Nothobranchius furzeri: one gene and its partners. The protein of the gene in region 1 interacts with the protein of each later gene in a pairwise test. Links are inferred from orthologs where the notes say so. Each region holds a gene or a part of one and is shown in the gene's direction. Other genes may lie near its edges.

Region 1 (5,268 bases):
TCTGCAGGAACCTTCAGGTCGGTCTGAGGGCTCAGAAGACTTCTACCTATTTTTAAATATATTTTTTGCTTTTGTTTTTTTTTCACATTTTCTGACCATTTTCTCTCGTTTCTTAATATAAATGTTCTAATTTAGGCTGTAAAACAAGACTCATGGAGATCAACTTTAAACATCCATATGCATAAATAATGAGCTACAGACAGATTTGAAGCACGTTTAATAAGTTATTGAATATTTTTTTTACTTAAAAACTTATTTCATTGTTCAGATTTACTCTAAGTTTTATTAGATTTGAAACTTTCGTAATCCGGCGTGATTTAGGTGAACACTACAATAGTAATAATAGAGGAAAACACAATTCAGAATGGAGTATACGAGTAGGCAATAAAGAAAAAAGCAGAATTTGGGTAAAAATAAATAAATGCATTTGAAGCAGATTTATTGTCTTGTGTTTGGAGCAGAGATTAGATTATTTAATTAGAACGGGGCTAGCTCTGGTGTCCAGGGATGGTTGTGTCCTCTGCGCAGTAGTACCTGGTAGTGATGTGTCGGTCGCGAACGAACCGGCTCTAAGAGCCGACTCTTTGAAGTGAACGATGGGAGCCCTCCCCCTCCCCCCCTGCCTTGGTGAAAGCTGCAGGTGATTGGTCAACATGTGTAACTGCGTGTCCAGACTGTCCACACACAGAGCAGTAGGGGCGGAGAAGAGGGAGGATCAGACTCAGACACACAGCAGAGCACATGCGGGCGGAGGGAGGCGAGCGGGAATGAGGAGGAGGAAAAAGGCAGAGAGAGGAGAGTGCGACGAAGACGGTGAGAAAATTAGCGCCAGCAGTCGGAAAGTGGAGATTTCTTAAAGTGTTCAGTTATTAAATCCATAGAAATGATAAATATTTGATACACAGCATTTTTTTACATTAGTAAATCATTTTACAAATAGTTTTGCATTATTTTGGTTATAAATGTATTCTGCGCAAAAGAAAATCTGAGGAGCCACTTGGGAGCCGAAAGAGCCGGCTCTTTTTGGTGAGCTGAGCCATTCCCATCACTAGTACCAGGACCAGAGTGAATAGGGTGTGTGTGTGTGTGTGTGTGTGTGTGTGTGTGTGTGTAAGCATGAGGGATGCATGTACGTCAGGTGGGGTCTTGGACTCCTCTCCTCTGCTGAGACATCTTGAGGTGTTACGACATCTTCGCGTACCCTCCTGCCACTTGTTCTACCGGTGGGCGGTGCCTCGGTCTGCCTGCATATCTAAATGCACTATGAATTATTATGGTATGCTTCCCAGCATAAGCAGTTACTGTTATATATCCTCATGCTGTTGGAGCAGCGATGTTTTGTCTTGTTGTATTTTTGTGTGTCTCCTTTTCACGCTCTCTCTCTCTCTCTCTCTCTCTCTCTCTCTCTCTCTCTCTCTCTCTCTCTCTCTCTCTCTCTCCAGAAGCTGATTCTTCTTCATCATTTATTATTTATATAATTCATCCTCCCTCACCTCTTCCTTCACTCTCCCCCTTTCTCTCACAGCTGTCTCTGTGTCCGAAAGTGTTGCTAATAAAGTTTTGGTGTCAGCAGTGGCTACGGCAGAAGCTGTGAGCTCCACCTGAGAGAATAAAGCTGCAAGGCTCGTCTTCAGCAGTCAGACATCAGTTCTGGTTGCTTCACAGCCGGACAGGACACGGTAAAAAGACAACAAAAGGATATTTGTATGAAATCAAGTGATAGTTATTAAAAGCATTCAAAGAAAAGATGTTTTTTGTCCAACTGCTCTTCTGTGACTATTTTATTTTATCCTTTACTTATTTTATTTTTATTTTTTTTATCTGCAACGATTTATAATAAAAAAAATTCTAACAAGTTTCGCTTCACACACTAAAATGACAGTTACCAGGAAGAGAGGCCAATCAGGGGGCAGAACGCGGGTCAGGTGACCCTGTCTCCGCCGCCATGTTTGTTATTGGCAGTGAAGCCTGATCGGACTGACGGCAACGAGGTTTGGCGGAGGTTCGGTTCGTTTTCTGGGATGAAACAATGGTCCAGACGTGCTCAGCCTATGGCTGTAAGAACCGGTACCACAAAGACAAAGATGTCTCCTTCCACAAGTAAGTTCGGCTCCGGTGTTTCTGCGCCGACTCTCGTTAGCCCGCCCGAGCTTCGGTCCGGTCTCAGAAACAGCCTCGTTCAGTCACAGCAGTCTATTCATTCATGTTTTCGTGCTGAATGAAGCAGAAGTCCGAGCAGCGGCCTCACAGAGGAACCACCTGTTCAACAGGTGTCCAGGTGTTGTAGTCCCATTAGTCTGACATGTTGGAGCAAAACCAGAGCAGCTAGTGGTTAGGACCAGTTTATTCTACAAACACAGAAACACCTCCAGTTGTCCAGACTGGTGGAGCATAAAACCAGGTGTGGCGAGGCCTCAGGCTAGATGTGGAGGGGCATCAGAGCAGGTGTGGAGCAGCAGCAGCCAAGTGAGGAGGAGCATAAAACCAGGTGTGGAGAGAACTCAGGCCAGGTGTGGAGGAGCGTCGGCGCAGGTGTGTTTCACACTTCCTGGTGTTTAGATAAACATTCAGTACTTCAGTAAAGTTGCTGTAATTAATGCGGCGTCATCGGGTCACGTGGAGAAACTCAGGTTTTTATTAAAAGTCGTTTATTTTATCGCTGGAATCATTTTGGATTTTTTCACTAAAATCTTCATCATTCTGCTTTCTCACAGATCAGCTACAGAGGCTGGTTCTGGCTCGGGTTCTGGTTCCTCCAGAACTCATCAGTCACTTTGTCTGAGTTGACGTTTGTTCATTTTCATCACCACCACCGTGCTTTGCTCTGATGGAGTGAGAACATGTCCTCCTTCCGGTGGAGGTCATGACCTCCATGCTAATCATCTCTGGCTGTAGAGACGGTCTGGATTTGTCCTCAGAACCAGAACCAGACCAAAGCTCCGTCATCCTCTCCTGATCTAGAGCAGACTGGACTCACAGGATGGGTCCTTTTTAGTCCACTGGACCTGGTTTCTTTTCTCAGCCTCTGATGGTTTGGGTTCCTGACGGTTCTTGAAGACGTTTCGGATCTTCTCGTGTTTCTACCTGCAGCCGTCGGTTTTACTGAGCCCAGTTGTGTTTAGAAGTAGAAGTGATGAGGTAGTTCTGTTTCACCTGTCTTCAGTGTTGGGAGTAACGACGTTTAAATATAACGGCGTTGCTAACGGCGTTCTTTTTTAGGTAACGGAATAATTTAATTGATTACTTTTCCCACTGCTGCAACGCCGTTACCGTTACCACGTGCTTGTCGAACGTTGAGCAGCAGCGTGAGGCTTTCTGACCGCCACACTTCAGCTGCAGCCAGGGAGAGAGAGGTGTCGGTAACGCACTTACAAACACGATGGTGATTGGCCGGGTGGGCGGAGACCCTCACGGTCTCAGTCGCTGCATTCTGTAGACACAACAGAGCAGTGATGGGAATAACGCCGTTTAAAATAACCGCGTTAATAAAAAAAAAGTGTTCCTGTAACGAGCAAACTAATTAATTACCGTCTTCTTTTATCAAAACGTCATTTCTGTTACTGATAAGGAAATGCGTGCGTTAAGCAGCGCGGTGTGTTGAAGCTGTCATCAGCTGATCAGGAGCTAAAGAGGTAGATGTTTTCATCCAAGAGCATCACGGACCGTGAAGAACGAGGAAGACGTGATGAATGATTCGCTGCTGCAGTAGCGAATCTGTGGGTCTGCAGCCGTGCTCTTAGCGTGACAGCGGGACGTCCCGAAGGTCCGCTCACCTGTTCACCTCTCAGACGTCCTGATCTTCTACCTTCCTAGATCATCCAGCTGTAACCTGTTTCTGATCATGTCTTTAGTCCCGCTGTAACACTGATGCATCAGTCTCAGACGTCATGGAGCTCAGGTGTTATCAGAACTACCTGTGTGTGTTTACCACCCAGCTTCAGCTCTTCTGTGGTTGGGTCTGACCCAAGTTAGTAAATGTAAGTCCTCCATCAGGCTTGTGCCTCTTCTAGTGTCATTTTAAAGGATTTTATTTATTTATTTAACCGTTACTAGATTACCTGCAACAGAAATGCTACTAAAAACACACAATTATGTGAAGCTGGAAAAATTAAAATACCGTAGAAAATTACATTTATTTCTGTAATTTAACTAGACTGAGAGACCATTTAAAGGCTCGGGAACCTTTACAGGTGTTTCTATTTGCAATTTTAAATGTTAGCTGATTGGGTTTTTGTTAAATATCACACAGAGACCTTTTAATAGTCTAGATAAGTGTAATGTTCCTATTAGTAGTTCCTCCTGTTAAGTGCTTATTTATTTAAATTATTCAGGTTTTATTATGTTCCAGTCATTAGTCATTTATATTTCACTATTATAGTAATTCTTGCATTCTTTAATGAAAAAAGTAACTAAGTAGTTATTTTTCTTGGTAATTAGTTACTTTTATAATCTTGTAACTGAGTTACTTTTTTTGACAAAGTAATCAGTAACTATAACTAATTGCTTTTTAAAGTAACGTTCCCAACACTGCCTGTCTTCATCTGAATGACGTTCCTGTGAGGACTTCACTTCCCCAGCTGTTGTACCATTTGACGTGTTTTCCCAGGTTTCCTTTGGCCCGTCCAGATGTTTGTGGGAAATGGGTCGCTGCCATGAGGAGGAACAACTTCAAACCCACCAAGTACAGCAACATCTGCTCCCAGCATTTCACCAAAGACTGCTTCAAGAGGGAGTGCAACAACCGGGTTCTCAAGGAGAACGCCGTCCCGTCGCTGTTCACCTTTACCCTCAGCATGAAGGTCAGAGTCCCAGTGTGGTTCTGGTTCTGGATGTGAATGTTTTGGGCCCTGAAGGCTTTAACCCTGAGACTCTGAAGTGTGGTTTAAAATCCCAAATCTGTCTGGTTTCTGTCCTGCAGGCCGAATCTTTGGAAGACCCGTTTCCCCCAGAGATCCACTTACCTCTCTCTCTGCCTCTGACCTCTGACCCGACCCTGGAGGAAGAGGAGGAGCCTGACAGGAGCGCCGCCGATGCCCAAAGCGACACAGCGGTGGTCTCCTGCGATCACAACTACACGGCGGAGGACTCGGCGCAGCAGAAGAAGCGCATTGAGCAGCTGGAGGAGCAGGTGGAGCTGCTGAGGAAGAAGCTGAAGACCACGCAGCAGAAGTGTCGTCGTCAAGAGCGACAGCTGAAGCGGCTGCGGGCGGCCTGCCAGGCGCCCAGAGCGAGCCGAGAGCCGGCGCTGACGCTCGGATACGTGGCTTT
Region 2 (5,366 bases), on another chromosome or scaffold:
AAGCCAATCAGTAAAAAGTTTCCTATATAAGGAACCTAGCAAATTGCATGGAGTCACTGACTGGTGTCAGTGACTTTACAGCAATCCTCATACTAAGCAAGTAGCGACAGTGGAAAACTCCCTTTTAACAAGAAAAACTTCCAGAGGATCCTGGCTCAGTAGGAATTGCCATCCGCCACGACTCACTGAGGATCGAGGAAACAGAGCAGACACCCCCCACACATACCAGGAAAAGTGCTCTTTATTTATTTATTTAGGACAGTGCATGTTAATGAACATAAATGTAAATGCAGCTTACATGAATGTAAACATGCCAGATTATAGCCAAAGGCTAATTTCCATCTGTTGTCCTTAGACATAAAAAGACATAATGATTCATGAAAATTCATCATTCATTCATAATCAAAACTCCATCACCAAACCTACGCCATTCTATTCACAAATAAAACATCAAAACTATACAACTCGTACATGATCACACACTTGATTTGTCCATAACCAGTTTTTAACATTTGCCTTTAAACAAATTGAAAGTCGAGCATTCTCTAACGGGTTGAGTGCCTGTTAAATAGTGACAGGCACCAAAGTAAAATGGTAAATGGCCTGTATTTGACATAGCACCTTCTAGAGTCCTGGAACCTCCCAAGGAGCTTGTTGTGGCCACCAGCCTGGCCTCTTCAGGTGCAGGAGCCAGGATCACCCAGCCTCGGTGATCAGCCAGGCACCGCCCCTCTTCCTCCTTTCTTCCAGGCTGCTGAGGAGCACAGCTGAGCTAAATCATCTGGTGACCTACACCTGGGATAAAAAGGCCGTGCCTTCAGCAGTCTGGGAGGCAGCAGTGCAGGGGCTAAGCTGTTATTCATGCCTCATTTTGGTTTCAACCCCTTCATTTTGATGAGTCTTAATTTTAATAGTTTTAACTCTGAGTGATCCAAAGGGATCTTTGTTTGATGTCAACTTGGTTGACTTGGTTTTAAGGTTAACGTTGTAGTTTACTGACTTTGGGATTTTAAAACACTCAGTGTTTTTCTAGTGTGTCAGATTTTACTATCAACTTGAAGATTTTGGAAACACTTTCTGTTCAGTAAAACTTTTAATATAAGTTTTAACCAGGTGTTTTTAATGTTGGTAATTGGTCTTTTAGTGTTAACCTTTTTGAGAGTTTTTTTTTTGTTTGGCATTTTTTAAACAATGCTCACCATCTGTTTGCACTTGTTTTTAGAACCTTTTATAACAATTAAACCCATTTTAAACCCACTATCATGTTTCTTGTGTTCCCCTTCCTTCACATTTTAACACCTCCTGTCGGGGACGTAACAGTGCTTTACAACACAGTCATGCTCACCCTGGTCTGGTCGATGAGCTACATTCTAGCCACAGCTGCCCTGGGGTACACTGACAGAGGCGAGGCTGTCGAGCGCTGGCGCTACTGGTCCATCCGACCACCATCAGCAAGCAAGGGGGGTTAAGTATCTTGCCCATGGACACAACAACAGCGACAGACTGAGTGGGGCTTGAACCTGCAACCTTCCGATTATGGGACGAGCACTTAACTCCTGTGCCAGTGTCACCCCATACAAAGAGTAAATACGTAGACACCTCATGGGATGGCGCTGCCTATTGGAGCTGCCGAAGTGGCCGGCTGCCATCTTAGTCTCCATTCGGCACACTACCAGAGGCGAGTCTGCCTCTGTCAGTGTGTCTGTCAGTGTAATTAAACAAAATAAATAAACAAATACAAATCTAAAATCCTATCAGGTAGGCTAGAAAAGTCACTATAGTAATCCCACATGATCTATTTACAATTGTACGCGGGTTGTTGTAACCGTGGGATGCACAAAAACGGGCATAGTTGCGTACTCTGCATTGCCTTCGGAGAATGAAGAGACCCATCCAAAATGGCGACGACACGGGTGGTTACGTATTCTTTTCACTCCTTTACATTTCCGGAAATAGGCCCTGAGCTGACACCAACGAAGAAGAGACTTCAAACATGGCGACTCCCATGCATAGAATAATAGCGAGAAGACAAGCGTGAGTAAAACATTTTTAAACTTAGCGTAGCAATATTATTTTAGTATATTTTGTGTCTACATTTGTTACGTTACCACGTGCGGTCTATAGCTGACCTACAGTTTTACATTCAGCCTGTAAAGAACGAACTTGGAGGGACGGGCATCCCGCGGCTCTACGAAGCGCTACGTTGTGTGAAACTGTACTCTTCTGAAGCTGTTATTTATTTTTATAATACCCCAGTTTAAGTAAAAAATAATTTTGTTTACATCGATGTTAATGTCAATATAGTTATAACCAATAGTCGGATCAAAGTATTGAGAAGAATCGGGACTTGGGCAGAGTTTTGATAATTTGTGATTATTGGTGGGGTTTCAGTTTCTTTGGTGGAACACCTGCGAGTTTCTGAGTTTAAAATGAAGTATTCATTACTAGTGTATTAATTATGAGATGGCTACATAAAGCTTCGTGTAGCTTCTCAACTATTTTCTTTGCCCAGAGGTTCACGTCTTCGATGCATCATTCATTGCTTATAGTGACACCTGCTGGTGGAGTTAAACTACGGCAGCCATCATTTTTTTCATAATTTATACTGGAATCATTTGTTCCATTCATTATTAATTTTAAGTAATCTGACAACAAATACATGTATGTGCAAATGTCTTACTTCTGTAGTTTATGTATTTTTTCCTGTTTGGAAGGTATTTATTTATTTTTATTGCTTACAGGGAGGCAAACAAACAAAATGTGCGTTGTCAGAAGTGCTTGGAGATGGGACACTGGACTTACGAGTGCACTGGGAAACGGAAATATTTGCACCGACCGTCAAGAACAACCGAAATGAAAAAGAAGCTGAAGGAGATAGAAAACAAACCTCTCAGCATCACAGGGTGAGTCATCTCTGACAGTTTGAAGGACAAGTCATTTACACCTGGACTTCATGTAGGGTTGGGCAATAAATCGAAAATGTATCGTTATTGAAATTTCTGACTCTTATCGATAAATGTTCCCATGTCATTAAATTTGATAATAAAAAAATGAAAAGATGTGTGTAGGTTGGCAAAATCCATGTCCCTTTAAGAAGCTGTGCAACCTTGAGTGACTTAAAAATTTGATTCAACGTAATACATGTGACAGCCCCATTTATGGACAACTTTTGTTTCTGCGCATACCAAGGTGAAATCCTCAATATATCGTGATATTGATTTTAGGCTAGATCGCCCAGCCTAACTGTGCATAAATAAACCCACAAAAAATGATAATTATAACTGAGAACTCAGTTTTTACAGTGAAATTAGATTTATAAATAATTCTTAAATTTTGACAGTGTTTCAAATGATCTCAAATAGAAGTTGAATTTGTTTAACTAAAATACATAAAAATACAAACAAATGATTTTATCAATAGTGACTGAACTATATATAATGTTGTGATTTTTCCACATCACAGACCTGGAGGAGAAGCTTCCAGTGAAAAGAAAACAAAAAAGAAGTAAGTAATCTGATAATTTACTAGGGATGTGTATTGGTGAAACTCTGATAATACGATACGTATCAAGATACAGGGGAGACAAATTCGATATATCACAATATATTGTGATACATTCAGCCAGATGATATTAGCATTTTTTTTTGACAGAATTTATTGTAGGGAAACTCAGTCCAGTCCAAACTGAAATGTAACATGTTCAATATAAGGTATCTTATAAAGAAGAAGAAAATATCATTTCTATAGCGCCTCTCAAGATAAAAATCACGAGGCGCTTCACAAAAACAAAAAATGTAAAAATATAAAAAATAATTTAGAAAATGGTTAAAAATATATTTAAAATGAGCAAAAAATAGACAATTGTGATTAAAAAAAATGTTAAGAAAGAGAGAGAGAGTGAATAGGAAAGAGGGAAATCAGTGCATCCTGAGGAAGGTGGAATAGAGAAAGGGATTTATATTTCAATGGTGGAAACAAAACCCATTGCACACTGCTGCTACCTAGTGGTCGGCGTTTGAATTGCACCAAAAGAAAAGAAAATACACAAATGTTTGCATGTAAATTCCATGTGGCTTTTAAAGATCGATACAATATTGCAGGAAAAAATATCACAATATATTGTCATATCGATATTTTCTTACATCCCTATAATTTACTATATTGAAATATTTTAAAGAAGTTTCATAGCTGTGGTGTGGTCATTTCTAGTCATTCATTTTTGGATGTAAAAGATTTTTTTATTCATAAAGATGATATTTTAATTCTTATGTTCATATTTCTCAACTTGTACCACTTTAAACAGAATTGTGACTTAACAGTTCCATCTAGTGGCAGTTGATGAGAAGTGAAACCATTTTCTTGGTTATTGTCTGTTTTTAGACAAGACTCTTAGTGAATTTACATTTGATTCTTGTTTCTTTTGTACTGTGATAGTAGAACAGCTTCACATTTTCCATCAGTTAAATTGTTGTTACAGATTAATTGGAAAGTCAATTAAAAAAGTAATTATAAAAAGATTTAAATGTATCTTAGCCTGTTTAACCCTAACGCCCCCCAATTGGGTGCCTCTACAGTTTCATGTCCCAAACATCTACAACTGTCCACGTTCTCCAAACACAACTAAAACCACAATCAAACAGCCCAGATGGGAAACAAGGCCATTTTAAATGGTAATAAATTAAGATACAACGATCTTTGAACTTTATTTTAGAAGAGCATCTGACCTTCTCTGGTGTCTGCTGGGAAAAAACCCTTGAACACATTTAGTTGAGGACCCTGGAATAAATAAAACAATTGACAACATTTCCTAAATGGAATTTGAACTCACAACCTCCATCCTGTCAGCACTTTCACACAGGGCAGCTCTTCTAACATACAGTTCAAGTATTATTTTATCTTAATGTATCAAAATCCAAAAATTACTTTGTTTACAATCTAAACAGTTTTGATAGTAGCTGTAGTTGTGCTCGGGGACTTGGGACATGGAACTCCAAAGGCCCCCAACTGGGAGGTGCCAGGGCCCAAAGAAAAAAGGCCTTGGGCCTAAAGGGTTAAAAACTGTTCAGTAAAAAGTACTTAAATTCAATTTTAATGTGTTTGCAATAAATGCTTTTTTTTTGTTGTTGCATCAACTGGTGTTTACATGTGTTTCAAATAAGCTATTATTGGCTAAAGAAGACACATAAATAAGGGTATTACTGCTAAATCTCCAATACATTTGTTTGAAAACATGTACTTTTGCAGAAAATCATCTCATATGATCTCAGAGACAGGACAGCTGCAAAGAACCAACATTTCAGACATTTTTTGTTATTTTACGAATGTGAAAATCTTTTTGTCACTATGTTTGTGCAAGATGACACCCA
Region 3 (5,214 bases), on another chromosome or scaffold:
AAACACCCTTAAAATTAAACAAATAAAACATTTTTATTTATGAGAAAGCAGCTGTCTAACTCATGCATTCCTGTTATAGTGCACATAAACAAATGAGACCTTCATGAATTTATAAATGTTATTGTGCTCACATCTGCTCAAGCACTCTAAGCAGCAGGAGCCCTGCACGCTTCTGTGTTTTAAATGACAAAAGCATTCAGAACCTTACGTGATGTCCCTGAAACTTCTCTGTACATTTCTTAAATAGTCACTCATAAATACCTCAAACTTTGTAGTTGCAGGTCTAGACAGCAGCTAAAATTAATGAAACTGAACAGGATGATGCGGTCAGGTGTTCGGAGAGCTTTTGTTCTTCCTGTGGTGCCTCTCGGTAAAAGTCCTCCACATGCTGGTGACAGCGACTCGGGCCATGAGCACCGTGATGCTGAAGTTACGTCGGTACCACTCCCTGGATTGGGGAGGAGACAGCAAATAATAAATACGATGAAGCTTGATGATGCTGTGGAGGTTTTTCCTGGGCTTTAACTAATAAAGCCTGAACACAAACAACACTGACAATAAACGTCCAAAGTGTCCGGCTCACGCAGCAGCTCGTTATGAGAAAAGCTCCACAGAGGTGTGCGTGGGGGGGGGGGGGAACGACACCCGACGCAAAAACAACTCACCTGTTATAATTTGCATGTCGGAGCTTGTTTTGGTCCAAAAAGCTTTTGTAAAACAGAGCCATCTCTTCGCTGTTCAGGGACCGCCGTCTTCCTGAGCGGAGCAAACCGACACAAAGTGGATTTCATTCAGCATTTTCACAGTCCTGACTCCATTTTCAGTTTCATTTCGTTGTTGTGTAAAAAACACCAGAACATATGTATGAGAAGCCTCACCGTCTTCGTCACGCAGAGTCAAACCTTTGGCCTTCAGATGCGAAATGATGAAAGCTTCTTTTTCCTGCAGAGACTATATCAATCAGTTGTGTTTTTGGAAAAGTCTGTCTATTCAAATGAATCCAAAGGCAAGTTTATAACGCGGTCGCACTGATATTACATCTTTGCCTAATCAAATTCAAGCACGTTCGGGCTTAGATTTAGGATTGTGCAGCCAGATTTGATTTACATACATGCTCAAAACAGTTCTTTGTCTCATCAAGGAAATAAGACTGTTCGACGTCTGCTATAATTTCAAGCACCTGTAAAAATCCTGCAAGCTGGAAGCACAAGTCATGTTACACTTCCCTAATATGAACACGTGACCTCGTACGGCAGGTGACCGTAGCCTCCTAAGGACACTGTACCATACCTGATACCATCGACTCATTTCACTCCAAAGAAAACTTTCCAAAGGATTTTCTCCATTGAGCTTTGCTGCCACCTGCTGGTGACAACAAAGAATTGTAAGCAGCATTTTAACCTTGCTAAAGCTGATGTTCTGCTTGGTCCAAAACTCATGGTTCCAGTCTTCCGTCTCCTGCCTCAGCATCCTCAGCCGCTTCTCCAGATCGGATTCCTTCTCGGGGATGTGGTACACGATGGGACGCAGATTGGACAGAGGGTTCGGTGGACCGATCCAGTCATGTGTGGAGCTGGGCTTGGGCCTGAAGGTGGACCGCTGCATTTCAAAAACAAAATACAAAACTGTGAAGGTAAATTAATGTCAGTCTGGGACCAACACGGTAATTAGACGTGTTCCAGCCAAGCTGCTGCAGCTAGCCACTAGGAGGCTATTTAGGGTGTCTGTTTCTGTCTCCTACCATGAAAAAGTAGGGTGGTGTGGAAACTGTCTACTAATCCTGAGACAAGTAAAGGCTTAAACACATTTATCTGTGCTTTAACTGTTGAAGAGCTGGTCCTGTCCACAGATGAACGTCACAGAGCTGAACTGAGTCAACGCCACACGACAGCGAGCTTATCAGAACCAAACAGGCATCACGATGAAAGCAGCAAGGAGAAAAACACGATCCCAGACCCAGAGACCAACGCAACGGTACGGAAAAAACAGATAATTGTCAGAAATATTCTAGACATTTTAAATACTGTGAATACTATGATGCTCTGGGACATTACTTAGGAAAAAATAGAATAGTAAAAAGGACACAAAAACAGAAATGTGCATCTGGGTATGGTACTGAATGTACTGATGTTAGCATACAGGTCGTTCTCAAAAAATTAGCATATTGTGATGAAGTTCATTATTGTCAGTAATGTACTGATAAACATTAGACTTCCATATATTTTAGATTCATCACACACAACGGAAGTAGTTCAAGCCTTTTATTGTTTCTAATATTGATGATTTTGGCGTACAGCTCATGAAAACCCAAAATTCATATCTCAAAAAATTTGCATATTTCATCCGACCAATAAAAGAAAAGTGTTTTTAATACAAAAAAGTCAACCTTGAAATAATTATGTTCAGTTATGCACTTAATACTTGGTCGGGAATCCCAATGCGGCGTGGCATGGAGGCAATCAGCCTGTGGCACTGCTGAGGTGTTATGGAGGCCCAAGATGCTTCGATAGCGGTCTTAAGCTCATCCAGAGTGTTGGGTCTTGCGTCTCTCAACTTTCTCTTCACAATATCCCACAGGTTCTCTACGGGGTTCAGGTCAGGAGAGTTGGCAGGCCAATTGAGCACAGTAACACCATGGTCAGTAAACCATTTACCAGTGGTTTTGGCACTGTGAGCAGGTGCCAGGTCGTGCTGAAAAATGAAATCTTCATCTCCATAAAGCTTTTCAGCAGATGGAAGCATGAAGTGCTCCAAAATCTCCTGATAGCTATTTGCATTGACCCTGCCCTTGATAAAACACAGTGGACCAACACCAGCAGCTGACATGGCACCCCAGACCATCACTGACTGTGGGTACTTGACACTGGACTTCAGACATTTTGGCATTTCCCTCTGCCCAGTTTTCCTCCAGACTCTGGCACCTTGAGTTCTGAATGACACGCAAAATTTGCTTTCATTCGACAAAAGTACTTTGGACCACTGAGCAACAGTCCAGTGCTGCTTCTCTGTAGCCCAGGTCAGGCGCTTCTGCCGCTGTTTCTGGTTCAGAAGTGGCTTGACCTGGGGAATGCGGCACCTGTAGCCCATTTCCTGCACACGCCTGTACACGGTGGCTACGGACGTTTCTACTCCAGACTCAGTCCACTGCTTCCGCAGGTCCCCCAAGGTCTGGAATCGGTCCTTCTCCACAATCATCCTCAGGGTCCGGTCACCTCTTCTCGTTGTGCAGCGTTTTCTGTCACACTTTTTCCTTCCCACAGACTTCCCACTGAGGTGCCTTGATACAGTACTCTGGGAACAGCCTCTTCGTTCTGAAATTTCTTTCTGTGTCATACCCTCTTGCTTGAGGGTGTCAATGATGGCCTTCTGGACAGGAGTCAGGTCGGCAGTCTTACCCATGATTGTGGTTTTGAGTAATGAAGCAGGCTGGGAGTTTTTAAAAGCCTCAGGAATCTTTTGCAGGTGTTTAGAGTTAATTAGTTGATTCAGATGATTAGGTTAATAGCTCGTTTAGAGAACCTTTTCATGATATGCTAATTTTTTGAGATAGGAATTTTGGGTTTTCATGAGCTGTATGCCAAGATCATCAATATTATAGACAATAAAAGGCTTGAACTACTTCAGTTGTGTGTAATGAATCTAATATATATGAAAGTCTAATGTTTATCAGTACATTACTGACAATAATGAACTTTATCACAATATGCAAATTTTTTGACAAATGTTTGCATGTAAATAAATTCTCTCAAAATTTAGATACACGGCTTTTGAATATCGATACAACCATTGCAGGAAAAAATACCACGATATATTGCCATATCGATATTTTCTTACATCCCTAATCGAAATTCTGAATCATTAGATTTGACTGACAGGTACCATGAGCGTCAGAGCCCGTCAGTCAAATCTAATGATTCAGAATTACAATCCCTGGAACTAAAGATGGCTGATTGTCGGATCGGGGCCATATTCACTGAGATCAAAAGCTATTTCAGTTAAAACCATCCTAATAGGTGTGGTTACATTTTAACACAGGGCCTCTCGTTTGATAGTTGCATTACGATTCTTGCATCCATTGAGTTTTTGGAGAGTTTCTGCTTAAGTTTCTTTGCAGGAAGTCAGAATCACCTCCCAGACCTCCTACTTGGATGAGATCTGCCTCTGCAGTCCACAAAGGTTAGAGGATGTTGCAAAAGCTTCCTATAGGGTTGTGGTCATGGGTTAGAGTTAAGGTTATTCTCTCCTTTTTCTGCCCACACTTTGGTTTTTGTGAAATATCGAAGGTTTTCATACCTTACCCAAGGCATTCAACTGTTTCATGCTTTTCAGAGGCAGAGATAGTTTTTCTTGCCAAGCTGGTTGAAAATGGAAAATCCTTTTCAGTAGTTTCTCCTTAATTGGGCTCACCTGGTACATCTCATCAGGTGTCTGAGACCAGAGACACCATCTAGAGTTTAAGTAAAAGCAAAAAGTCTGTCTCCTAAATAAAATGTGCCTGTAGTGTGGAACACGTTGTGTTGAGGTTCTGGGGGAGTTCTGGTCCATTCCGCTGTTCCGGTTCATTGAGGTTTTCAGACATGTGTTCCTGCTGAGTTCTCTTAAAGGGACTTTACAGAGTTTTGAATTTTTATGCTCGTGATTGCCCCCTCAGGCCAAAAGCGTAACGGCAGCTTCAATAGTAGGCTTGTGCACGAGGCGCGCATGCTGTACGTGCACGCTCCTTAACGAAAATACCGTGTGTGTGTGTGTGCGTGCGTTTGTGTGGCCCGGAGGACAGAGTGCAGCTAATTAATTAAATATTTTGTTTCTGTACCTTTCTCTTCAGCACAGCCGACAAAGGTTAATGATGGGTCAGTCCTCCTGCATGCTCAGATCATTCCCTTCCCTTGCTTGAAAAATTGTTCCAAAATGAAAGTTGAACCCACATCTTTTTTATCTGTGAATTCAATGCTGTTCGATGAGTCTCAAATAAAAATGTGGGCATCTTACTGTAAAAAAATATATCATTAATGTAAAAAATAAACTCTAAATGAACTATGTTCACACCCGGAATCAAACCCGGGTCTTCTGCACGAGAGTCAGACATCTTACTAGGTGAACTAAAGCGCCAGTGACTTCCTCAGTATCTGTAACATTTATATCCTTGATGACAGCTAAAACAACGTTCAAAGAACGGTTCGGAGTGAAAATGGCTATTTTGTTGCTAATTTGCAG
Region 4 (3,378 bases), on another chromosome or scaffold:
GCACTTACAACGGAAACACTACTGCATTTCCCAGGAATCTTCATCACTACAACAGGTTTCCCTCTCTATTCTTCTCATTATTATCATTAAAGGTAGGGTAGGAGTTTCTGAGAAAGCCATTCTAGTTCTTAACGTGTTGCACCTACATTACTGCATAACTAGGGATGTCCTTACACAACTTTTTCACTTCCGATACTAGGGATGTAAGAAAATATCGATTTGGCAATATAACGTGTCCCCCCCCCAGCGATATTGTAGCAATATTCAAAAGCCGTGTATCAAAAATATTGATATCGCAATGTATCATATTTTTTCCTGCAATATTATATTGATGTTCAAAAGCCATGCATCTAATTTTTGGAAGAATTTACATGCAAACATTTTCTTTTCTTTTGATGCAATTCAAACGCTGACCACTAGTTGGCAGCAGTGTGCAATGGGTTTTGTTTCCACCATTGGAATGTAAACCCCTCTATTAAGGTTCAGATACCTCACGTTAAACATGTAAAGTATCAGTTTGGGCTGTTTATTGAATTTTCCTATAAATCAGTCTAAAAAAATTGCTAATGTTGTTTGAATGTATCGCAATAAATCGTGATATATTGTATCTTCTCCCCTGTATCGTGATACGTATCGTATCGCCATACTTTCACTATACACATCCCTATCCGATACAATACCAATACTGCAGCCTTCAGTATTGACTGATACCAATCCGATATGAAATCAGCACAAATCATACAGACTTATACTTATTTCGTAGTGTGGAATTTATGAAAGGCTTAATCTAGTGATATTACTCAATCGGAGAACAAGAGCCAATAACAGTAAGTATGAAAAAAAGACAATTTCTTTTAACCATTGGTTGCAAAAATGTAAACCTTAACGGACTGCTTATATCAGAGATTTTTGATGCAGTCCGATATAATTCGATACAGTGTTTTTGGGCCGATATCGAATTCCTTCCGATATTGATATCGGAATGGGACATCTCTTTGTATAACAATGAAGTATGCTGGCTAATGTATGCTGGCTAATATAGTTAGCTCAGCTCTGTCACTTCCTCTTCAGCTGCTCTGAGCCAATTAGTGCACATAGAGGGGTATGGCAGAGCGGGGAGGGAAGGTCAGAAGAGCAGTGTGATGGATGGATCAGGATCCAGTCATTAAAGTTAATTGAGAAACTGTTTTTTACCTGATATTTTTTTAAGTATGATCTTACACTTTGAGTTTAACATGCAGGCTAAATGTGAAAATAGTCTTCTACTATTTCCTGCATTAGCCGCCGATAGAAATTAGAGGGGGAAATGCTTAGGTGAGAAAAAGCCACACAGATCTACATCACACGGTAAAGTTAGCATACATGGACTCACCCATCTGGGCTCACGACGGGAAAGACTGTTGTTGATTTAGTATCCAGCAGAGAACAGAGCACATCTTGGCTAGTAGAAGCTAACTGTTAGCTTTAGCAACTCCACCAAACAGCAGAACTTCTTCAGGCTTGAGGTATTTGTGAAGACAAAACATCAACGTTGCAAAGAAAATGGAGTCAGTGGTAGAGTCGCTGTTAGCCAATCAGAGGCAAGATGTCTGAATATGAGGAAATGAGACTCCAAAACCTGCCGTCTGCCGCTCCCCTCTCCTCTGGCTCACTTCTAGTTTCTGAAACAGAAGCGCCAGTTTCCCCCACAAAGGTCGACTCATTCATTTAAACTAGAGACGACTGCAAATGTGTTGGGAAAAAAAAACGTGTGAAATTGGTCATTAAGAAAGTGACGTTCACTGTTATTGGAGGAGGATTTTCTGGGATGATTTCATTTATTGGTTGCCATCAGTGTGTGGAGAGCATTTCTAACAAATGGCAAAAAGGCTTCAGAAAATGACCTCTTACCCTTTCTTTAAAAAAGTCAAATTTAAATATCTGATAAACAAATTATTTATTTGTGTCTGAAAGAATAGTCACGATGGTGTAAACTGATTTATTTTCTTCCAGCACGGCAGACACCTGCAGACTTACACCAGCGTGCTTCCCTTATTCCTTTGACTCCAGTGGAAACCATCACCACCATCTCTACCAGCACCACCACCACCAGCACCAGCCAGGCCAGAAGCAGCTGGAGCCCCTCGTCCTGCGTGACGTCCCTCCCTATCAGGCCGGTGTGGGCGCGGGGGGAGGTGTTGGAGCAGGAGGCAGAGCAGGGATGGGGATGGGAGGGGGTGATGGGACTGTAGCCAGGAGCTGGGGAGGCGGGGAGGCGGTGAGGATCCTGGCGAGGCGTGTCACACCAGATGGGAAAGTGCAGTACCTGGTAGAGTGGGACAACGTGAGTTTGTACTGAAGCAGGAGGCACAGTGACTGTTGTGTATTTAATACGTGTTCAAAAAAAAAAAAAGAAGCGTCCGTGTTCCAGATCCAGGTCCTCCTCAGTTCCACGCTCTAACCTCACTACTCGTGACTAAATGTGGTGTCCCTCTGATATTTGTACTGTTCCCTTTGGAAGATGCCTTTTACAGTGACACTATTTTAGCCTGCTGATGGTTTGTTTAAAGTCGGAGACGCATCATAGAACAAAACGTTGCTCAACATTAGAGAAGAAAACTCGTCTTTTTCCTTTTGCATCAGAAATGTTGCTTATTTTCCTGCTTTGCCATAAATATCCTAGAAAGAAGAATGTTTCTGTTAGATTCAGCAGGACACTTGGACTGAGTGGAAAATGAGAATAAAACTAAACCCTGTGGAAGTTTTATGATGACATGAGTTTATTCCAGGAAGAACGAATCCAACCTGTTTTTGACACCACGTCTTCAGCTCTTTTGTTCTTGCATTTAACACAAAAGTCAAAACACTTTGTAAATGTTGATATTTACTCCTCTGATATGTAAAGGATGTTCTGGCATCGAGGGTCTGCAGTAGTTTGTTTTTCTGTCTCTGCAAACTCAAACGGGTCATGAGTCTGGTCCAGAACCTGTCCGGGCTTTGTGATGCCAGCAGAGCGTAGTTCTGATGGATGTCTCTGTTCCTGATGCAGGTGTGGCTTTAACCCTCCCACTGTCCTCATGGGTGACCCCGCGAGGAAAGTAGGATTGATGGTTTACCCCTTGAGATCCATGTGGCAGGGGTGAGGTGGTGCTCACTCCTCACCCCTGCCACATGAACCCAAGGGATTAACCATCAACCCTGCTCAATGGTCAACTCTCCTCGCGGGGTCACCCATTAGGACAGTGTGAGGGTTACAGGCCCTGCTGTACTTTTCCTCATTAATGCTCTGTTCCAAGGTGGCACCATCACACATCTGGGCTCATGGACTTGTTTGTTTCTCACAACCATTTCTTCCCTCGTACATCTGGAATACGGATCTGTCCGACCACCTGAGGTTCT

The links.
Region 2: the proteins of thap1 (region 1) and zcchc10 interact in binary tests that used the Homo sapiens proteins (3 or more experiments, as listed by UniProt). The two-hybrid records come from large-scale screens. The link is inferred for Nothobranchius furzeri from reciprocal best matches to the Homo sapiens genes THAP1 and ZCCHC10.
Region 3: the proteins of thap1 (region 1) and bag5 interact in binary tests that used the Homo sapiens proteins (3 or more experiments, as listed by UniProt). The two-hybrid records come from large-scale screens. The link is inferred for Nothobranchius furzeri from reciprocal best matches to the Homo sapiens genes THAP1 and BAG5.
Region 4: the proteins of thap1 (region 1) and phf1 interact in binary tests that used the Homo sapiens proteins (3 or more experiments, as listed by UniProt). The two-hybrid records come from large-scale screens. The link is inferred for Nothobranchius furzeri from reciprocal best matches to the Homo sapiens genes THAP1 and PHF1.

What each region holds. Positions count from the first base shown.
Region 1 is NC_091746.1:71,096,714-71,101,981, reverse strand, and holds the start of thap1 (THAP domain-containing protein 1), read left to right. Parts: upstream 1-1,914; 5' UTR 1,915-2,029; coding exon 2,030-2,100; intron 2,101-3,842; exon of another isoform or gene 3,843-3,975; coding exon of another isoform or gene 3,976-3,977; intron 3,978-4,606; coding exon 4,607-4,799; intron 4,800-4,918; coding exon 4,919-5,268. UniProt on the Homo sapiens protein: DNA-binding transcription regulator that regulates endothelial cell proliferation and G1/S cell-cycle progression.
Region 2 is NC_091750.1:56,826,000-56,831,365, forward strand, and holds the start of zcchc10 (zinc finger CCHC domain-containing protein 10), read left to right. Parts: upstream 1-1,908; 5' UTR 1,909-1,993; coding exon 1,994-2,034; intron 2,035-2,741; coding exon 2,742-2,903; intron 2,904-3,462; coding exon 3,463-3,504; intron 3,505-5,366.
Region 3 is NC_091758.1:10,654,491-10,659,704, forward strand, and holds the start of bag5 (BAG family molecular chaperone regulator 5), read left to right. Parts: upstream 1-1,599; 5' UTR 1,600-1,633; intron 1,634-1,831; 5' UTR 1,832-1,921; coding exon 1,922-1,974; intron 1,975-4,040; exon of another isoform or gene 4,041-4,176; intron 4,177-5,214. Other genes in the region: coa8 (cytochrome c oxidase assembly factor 8), read right to left, coding at 328-448, 666-756, 879-942, 1,402-1,599. UniProt on the Homo sapiens protein: Co-chaperone for HSP/HSP70 proteins. It functions as a nucleotide-exchange factor promoting the release of ADP from HSP70, thereby activating HSP70-mediated protein refolding.
Region 4 is NC_091745.1:62,275,158-62,278,535, reverse strand, and holds the end of phf1 (PHD finger protein 1), read left to right. Parts: coding exon 1-55; intron 56-1,992; coding exon 1,993-2,338; 3' UTR 2,339-2,473; downstream 2,474-3,378. UniProt on the Homo sapiens protein: Polycomb group (PcG) that specifically binds histone H3 trimethylated at 'Lys-36' (H3K36me3) and recruits the PRC2 complex. Involved in DNA damage response and is recruited at double-strand breaks (DSBs).